2 linked regions of the Canis lupus familiaris genome follow. The protein of the gene in region 2 purifies or fractionates together with the protein of the main gene of each other region. This does not show direct contact. Links are inferred from orthologs where the notes say so. Each region holds a gene or a part of one and is shown on either strand. Other genes may lie near its edges. The genes, in order: NUFIP1 and NOP58.

Evidence for each region.
Region 1: the proteins of NOP58 (region 2) and NUFIP1 purify together in Homo sapiens (co-immunoprecipitation; 3 studies listed by BioGRID and IntAct, with this or other methods). This does not show direct contact. The link is inferred for Canis lupus familiaris from reciprocal best matches to the Homo sapiens genes NOP58 and NUFIP1.

What each region holds. Positions count from the first base shown.
Region 1 is NC_049243.1:6,033,534-6,037,348, reverse strand, and holds part of NUFIP1 (nuclear fragile X mental retardation-interacting protein 1), read right to left. Parts: intron 3,537-3,815; coding exon 3,343-3,536; intron 1-3,342. UniProt on the Homo sapiens protein: Binds RNA.
Region 2 is NC_049258.1:11,112,970-11,117,424, reverse strand, and holds the start of NOP58 (nucleolar protein 58), read right to left. Parts: upstream 2,958-4,455; 5' UTR 2,734-2,957; coding exon 2,689-2,733; intron 1-2,688. UniProt on the Homo sapiens protein: Required for the biogenesis of box C/D snoRNAs such as U3, U8 and U14 snoRNAs. Part of the small subunit (SSU) processome, first precursor of the small eukaryotic ribosomal subunit.

The sequences.
Region 1 (3,815 bases), on a different chromosome or scaffold from region 2:
CAGAAGAAATTCCAGGTAAAAGATGACATGAATTTAAATGAAATCTTTTCTACAAAATTAAGTTACCCTAACTTGATCCTTTTTTTATTTCCTTAAAGAATAATATTATTAAAAAAAAGAAAAAATAGTAATATTATAAATCTATAACTTACTTGTAAGATTTTTACATTCACGACTTACATAATTATCTTTGGCCCTCAATATAGGTAAAGGTCTCCACATTGACACCAAAATAAAATTACTTGAGGTCTCTCATATCATTACTCCTAGGAATCTGACTAAACACTTTCTATCACGAGGATGAAAGATACTTACTACTGTTTCTCACATCTAAAGTATCTCCTGAAGACCTAGATACAGGCTTAATAGAGCAAAATATATAATCATCTTTTTGTTGGTATTTCACCAGATTACCATATATTGAAATACTGCTTTAAAAATGAGAAACAGGGACGCCCAGGTGGCTCAGTGGTTGAGCTTCTGCCTTCAGCTCAGGGCATGATCCTGAAGTCCTGGGATGGAGTTCCGCATCAGGCTCCCCACAGAGAGCCTGCTTCTCCCCCTATCTATGTCTCTGCCTCTCTCCATGTGTCTCTCATGAATAAATAAATAAAATCTTTTTAAAAATAAATAAAAATAAAAATGAGAAACAGGGGTGCCTGGGTGGTTCAGTTGGTTAAGTGTCTGCCTTCAGCTCAGGTCATGATCTCAGGGTCCTGGGATCTAGCCCTGCCTCAGGCTCCCTGCTCAGCAAGGAGCCTGCTTCCTCCTCTCACTCTGCCTCTATGCTCTCCCTATCTCTTTCTCAAATAAATAAATAAATAAAATATTTTTAAAATAAAAAATAAAAATGAGAAAACAAAGAGGGGCCTAGCTGGTTCAGTCAATAGAGCATGTGACTCTTGATCTAGGGTTGGGAATTTGAGCCCCATGTTGGGTGCAGAGATTTTTTTTTTTTTTTAAAGATTTTATTTATTTATTTATTCATGAGAGACACAGAGAGAGAGAGGCAGAGACAGAGGCAGAGGGAGAAGCAGGCTCCATGCAGGGAGCCTGATGCGGGACTCGATCCTGGGTCTCCAGAATCACTCCCTGGGCCGAAGGCGGTGCTAAACTGCTGAGCCACCAGGGCTGTCCCAAGAGATTTTTTTTTTTTTTTTTAAAAAGAGAGCAAGAGAGAAAGAGAGAGGAAGAAAACAGAAGTACCCATCTACCAAAGCTAACAGAATGATGACTTCAACATTAGAGTCCCTTGAATGTTCATTTAGAGAACTGCATGAAGAATTACATAATTTTCAAATTAGTAACTTACTAATTATAACAGTATTCTCAGTATTCTTTGTATCTGTGTTTCAAGTATTCTAATGACATGAAAGTTCATATTTGGATATAGATGGTTTTAATCATCAAGGTCATACACTGTAAATCTGAAAAAGTGTGGGCACTAACATCTTTTGAAGGAAAAAAAAAATCAGTGCCCAAGAGTAATCTTGGCCCCAAACATCATCTGCCTTTTCTTTGCTATCATCAGCAAGGATAAAAAGATGCCTTTTCTAAACTCTCTCCCACATCTCAACTATCCTAGGCTCATACAGTATTTTTTTAGATAAATTCAAACTTCACATTTAGAAGAAGCATAGAGTCTAGTGGAATCAGACTCCTAAATTCAAACAGCTGGGCTAAGGTAAATTATTTACCCTGTGTCCCTCAGTTCTAAAATGCAAGTAGCAGGACACCTGGGTGGCTCAGTTGTTGAGCGTCTGCCTTCGGCTCAGGGCATGATCCTAGGTCCGGGGATTGAGTCCCACATTGGGCTCCCTTCAAGGAGCCTGCTTCTCCCTCTGTCTATGTCTCTCTCTCGCTCTCTCTCTGTACCTCTCATGAATGAACAAATAAAATCTTAAAAAAAATAAATAAAACACAAGTAGCAACAGTATATATGCACTGTAAAAGATCTGAAAACTGGAAACACATGTATAAAGCATGTAGAACACCATTAGTACCTTACTCAATAAGTATTAGTTGGTGTTAAAATAATTATTATTATTCTAACTAAATTATAAGCTGTTATTCTTAGCCAAGATCCTTTCCATCTTAATTCCGTCATTGAATTAGTTATCTCATTTCTTGCCATCTGTAAGTTTAATAATTTGCCATGTTTATCATAGAAGCCACTATCTTCCAAGCTAAACAGGGCCTGCTAGCATCAGTCCACTCACTTATATTCTTTCTTTGCAGAAGAGAAAACACATGCAGTAAGATAAAGCCTCATAATGTTATTGGAAGGAAAGGTAGTAGAAATATTTACATCTACATTTACATTTTGCGGAAGGGAAAACGGAGCCTCAGAGGCTGGATGATATCTATGTGGTTAGCAGCATTTTGGTCCTTTAATTTTTCAACTTATTAAGGCAGAGTAAGGGAATTCAAAGCTAATATAAATATATTCTATACACTGAGGAAGAACAGTATCAATTATAATGAAACAGTAATATTTACTCAGAGGGATCTTATTCATGCTCAGCAGCATAAATGATAACTGGCTTCCGTTGAAATACTCACTTCATAGGTGGGGAAAAATTAACCTAATTGAGCAAATTTGAATCTGTAGCATCAATATATTGAAAACAATTTCTTTTTTAAAAGACTTACTTATTTTAGAGAGAGTCAGAGCACGGGAGTGGAGGGTGGTGGGCAGGAGGGAAACAAAGGGAGAGAGAGAGAGAGCATCCCAAGCAAACTCCTCACTGAGCATAGAGCCTGACATGGGGCTCCATCTCATGACCTGATCATGACCTGAGCCAAAATCAAGAGTCGGATGCTTAACTGACAGAGTAACTAACCCACACACTCCCATACAAAACAATCTGAAAACAATTTCCAAGGTTACACCATACAATGGGGGCACCTGGGTAGCTCAGTTCGTTAAGTGTCTGCCTTCAGTTCAGGTCATGATCCCAGAGACCTGGGATCCAGCCCCACGCCAGGCTCTCTGCTCAGCAAAGAGTCTGCTTCTCTCTCTCATTCTACCTCTGTACTCTCCCTCTCTCTGTAATAAATAAAATATTTTTTAAAAGATTATACCATACTATGAAAATTAGCCAATAAATATAATTTTTTCCATATCCTGCCTGCTTCACACACTCATTCCCCAAGATTCAGAAAAGATATCCTGAAATGAGGGTTTTGACAAGACACTTCTATTATAAATAAAAACAAAAGCATCATTCTATTTTTTTTACATATTTGTCATTAAACTCTCCACAAACAATGCTGTGAAGAATCAACTGTAGGATCATGTTCTATGCATTTGTAAACACGCGGCTTTCCTGTTTAGCTTACCAGAATCAGTGTTTACTAAAACACCCAGAGGGTCTGAATTTGCTTCAGGTGGATCTTCAGGTTTCGAATCACGCAAGCAATTGCCAGATCCAATGGCCGCTTTCTGTCCAACACAGTCATTTTTCCATTTGTGATGCCTGCCGGGACTTCTGATCTTTGCCATCTGTGAATGTCTGGACATCCCCTTCATCTTCCTGGAGTGAGAAAAATGCAACTCTTAATATGAAAGGCAATGACCTCTCAAGAAAAACCTAAAAAATACTGACCACAAAAGAAATTTAGCTGCCGTATCAATCATTTGTAGCCTAGTACATTAAAGAAATCAAAATAAATAAACTCGATGGCTTCCAAAGACAGAGAACTTTATGGTAGATCTTTAAAAGAATAATACACCACAATATATTTTACTTTTATCAATTCTGAGATGCACATTTCCTCCCGTATTTTAACCCCTCTGAAAATGGTCCACGTTG
Region 2 (4,455 bases):
CAAAAGGTAACTTTTGAAGGTATTCTAAAACTGGATTGCAACTTGCACAGTTGTATAAATTTTACTAAAATGTATCAAACTGTATTTACAATAGGTGAGTTATACAGTATGTAAGATACCCAATAAATGAAGCTGGAAAAACATACTGCTCAGTAATCAATATAGAAACTCTGGTATACACAAAAAAAATCTCTTCCTCCAGGCCCTAAGGAAATGAACACAACACTACACTGCGCAGCTGCACTACACACTGTAACTATTAAAATTTAAATGAATTAAAACTAAGAATTCGTTTCCAGAGCTTTACCAACCAAATTTCAAATGCTAAATAGTTGTACGTGGGTAGTGGCAATCATATTGGGTAGCACAGCTACAGAAGGCCTGGGATAAGTAATAAAAGACATGCCTTTAGTCTTACTATGTATGCCACATGACACAAGGCACACAGGTTGAGTTTTTACAATATTCTAAAAATGGAAATAGTTCCTTTAGTATTGTCTTTGGATTCATATATAACCTTGTTAACATTCAATAATTCTTTTACAGGGATCCCTGGGTGGCGCAGCGGTTTGGCGCCTGCCTTTGGCCCAGGGCGCGATCCTGGAGACCCGGGATCAAATCCCACGTCGGGCTCCCGGTGCATGGAGCCTGCTTCTCCCTCTGCCTATGTCTCTGCCTCTCTCTCTCTCTGTCTGTGTGACTATCATAAATAAATAAAAATTTAAAAAAAAATAAAGTGTACAACTTACTTTTTAGTATATTTTCACAATTGTGCAACCACTACCAATTCCAGAACATACTCTATGTCTACTTTACTAACAATAATGGCTATGAATTGAAATATTTGGAACTGAATCATTATTTCCATATATTTAGTCCTTTAGTTACTTCTCCATTATGCTACATAAACCATAAACCACAATTTAATAATGTGAACAGTAATTTGCAAATGAATAGCGTTAAAAAACCGACAGAATACCTGACTTATTTTTATGGAGAATACTCTTCATTAAAAGAAATAAGTAATTCATCAAGAGAAATGAATATTTTATGACCTAGGCCTAGAAACCAGACAACTGCTAAGCCAATTCCCTCCCACCATCAGAGGCAACCAGTGGACTGTGCAGTTGCGCCTCCCTCTTAGTGCAGAGCAGTATACCTAACATCTATTTACCTGAAATTCAACCATATACAGTAATTCAAAATATGATAGACCATGTTAGCTAAGAAAATTTGGGGGCATGTGCAAAATTCTACTTAACAATTTAGAAAAAGATGGGACACCTGGGTGGCTCAGAGGTTGAGCTGCTGCCTCCGGCTCCGGGTATGGTCCTGGAGATCCAGGATTGAGCCCCATATTGGGCTCCCTGCACGGAGCCTGCTTCTCCCTCTGCCTGTGTCTCTGCCTCTCATGAATAAATAAATAAAATCTTTAAAAGTAAAACAGACACACTCCGAAGATCTAAAGCCTTTTACAGTCCCTTAAAATTTCTACTACTCCCCAATTGCAGACAACCCCAATGAGAAAAAAATAAGCAAAACCAGCTTTTGGCTTTTATGACTTTATCACTTAATATTAACATTAACAAGTGCAAATGGAACTGTATTTTCAATGTCTGAAAAAAAATCTAAAAAAAAAAAGGTCAAAAGCTCCTCGAAATCAACACTTTGGAATGCTGATTCCAGATTTTCTGCACTCATGGCACATACATAACCGTACTATACACGTTACCCAGCATTTTTACCCTAATATCAGCACATATACGAAAATTCTGGGTTTTGTTCCTACATTTGTAGAGGTCAGAAGACTGCATGGCATGGATAGCATTCAGTTTACCTCAACTTTGGAACATCTCAAGAAAGTCCCATTGTTTAACCAGCTCCGTGCTGATAATCTTTAAATTTCAGATTTTCCCTATTAAGACAAATCTCAAACTGATGACCACAGGCATAGATTTCTCCCTTAGGTCTTAAACTTAAAATGAGGAGGGCACTTCCACATCTCACAGACGCTCCACGTTTCACAGCAACATTGGACCTTTTCAGTATCTGCTCCCCCAACCCCCGCCCGGAAAAAAACAAGACAAAACAAAACAAAACAAAACAAAAAAACACTCCCGTTTTTCTTCTCTTCTCCACCATCGCGTACCCACTTAATCCCAAACCCACAGTCTTCATCGGCCCAATGCCACCAGTTCTACCTTCTAAATTTCCCCTGGCATTTGCTTCTCGACATACTAACCTGAATCCAAGCACTTTCATCTTACCTAGATTAAGGCAAAAAACATACCTGGTTCCTTTCTGGCTTCTTGTAACATATATTCTCCACGCGGGAAAGCAACTTCATTAAAAGACTTTAGATCAGGTCGTTCCTCTCCTTAAAACCTTTCAATCGGTTCTTAAAACCACTCAGAATAAACCTCAAGTTCCTTACCTTTACCTGTGAAATCGGTAAGACCCCTGCCCTCCTCTCTCGCCGGCCGAATCCTCTCAACAGAACCTGGCGCGGCCACGTGTTCACCGGAACACGCGTCTCCCAGGCCCACAGCCTTCCCCTGACTTTAGAGCAGGGGGACACAAACGGCTCCCGCAGGATCCCGAGCACTGTCGCCCTCCCCTTACGTCTCTCCCCGTCCTCGCCTGCCCAACACCAGCCTCGCCTCTCCAACGGTTCAATCTGCAACTTACCTTAAAGATGGCGTAGCCCACGGACGTCTCAAACAGCACCAGCATGCTGAGGCCGGGTCAGGGCACTGCGCGGCCCGCCGCGTGCTCTTACACCCGTGAAAAGAAACCAAACTTGCGGCCCCCAAAGGCCTGCAAGGCCGCAGCAGGCCAGGCACAAACGCGCGCGCCTGCTCGCAGAACCGGACCACGTTGCCTGACCGTTCCAACCGACTGTGTGTAGAATGTTTCAACGCGCTTCTCCTTCTCCAAGGCTCCTGGGATCCGACGTCACTTCCGACAGGCAGCATGCCGTCGCTTCCGGTATGTTCCCGCCAACCGGGTGGGTGATGGGAGGGGGAGAGGGGAGGGGAAAAAAAAGAGCGAGAAAGAGAAAGAAAGTGTCGCGAGATTTCTTTGGACTAAAGCGAGATTTTAAGCGGTGAGCTGCGCTGAAACCCAATAGGGAAGAAGGTCGCTTTTTACTATTTTTGAAGTTCCTATAGGTGATATAATTTATCTTGAGAGAAATGCGGAGCCGTCTCCGTCCGTTTGCCCCAGGCGTCTGGAATTGGGAAATGCCAGCCGCTTAACACCTGGAGAGCGCTGCCTTGAAGCGAGGCTCTCGGGCGGCCGCGGGACCGTCCCGGTCTACGCGAGCACGCCCGGCCGAACTGATTCTTAGCACAGGTGTCTTTCACGTATATGCAGACCTCTCCCGTTTTTTTTTTTTTTTTTTTTTAAGATTTTATTTATTTATTCATGAGACACAGAGAGGCAGAGACATAGGCAGAGGAGCAGGCTCGGTGCAGGGAGCCCGACGCGGGACTCGACCCCCGGGTCTCCGGGGTCACGCCCTGGGCTAAACCTCTGGGCCACCCGGGCTGCCCAGACCTCTCCCGTTTTTTGTTACAGTGATTACAGGGTATAGGCATTTAGACTTAGCGGAAGTTGCTTTTCTGGGACCTTTCAGTTTGAGTGACGGATTTAAAAACCTCTGTTAGTCCACAAGTCTGACTTTTTTTAGGAGTGAAATTTCCTTCCTCACGTTCCAGGCCTTATATGCCGATGGCTGTAAACATTAGGTTGCAATTTGCGGAAAGTTTTGGAACACTAAGTAACTTGATTTTTTCTTTTTTTTTTTTCCTCCTCCAAGCGGCTCTGCAACCTAGAATCAAGAGGAATGAAAATCCTGGACTGAATAGCAGAAAAGATGAGGGGGGAGGGGAATCAAGGGATTGGGGAATCTAGGGTACAGACACGAGCATGGTTGATTATACCCATAAGATTCAGTGTGGTCAGGGAGGCAAGAGAAACCAAAATGGGGCAGCCCGGGTGGCTCAGCCGTTTAGCGCCGCCTTCAGCCCAGGGCGCGATCCTGGAGACCGGGGATCGGGTCCCACATCGGGCTCCCTGCATGGAGCCTGCTTCTCTCTCTCTCTCTCTCTCTCTCTCTCTCTCTCTCTCTCTCTCTCGTCTCTCATGAATGAATAAATAGAAATCTTAAAAAAAAAAAAAAAAAAGAAACCAAAATGGCTTGATTGGGAAAGGAAGAGTGGGTGAAGTAGAAGCACTGGGTCTGTTAGTGGTATTATATCATTTCATAATATATATCTTTTTTTGGATCTAGTTTTATTTTTTAATTTTATTTTTTTTTAAATAATCTCTACATCCAAGGTGGGGCTCAAGCCTACAACTCCAGAATCAAAAGTCACATGTTAAATCCACTGAGCCAGGCAGGTGCCTCTGTCTAGTTTTCTTAACTGAAGTGCCATCTGCTAGAAAGTGCAT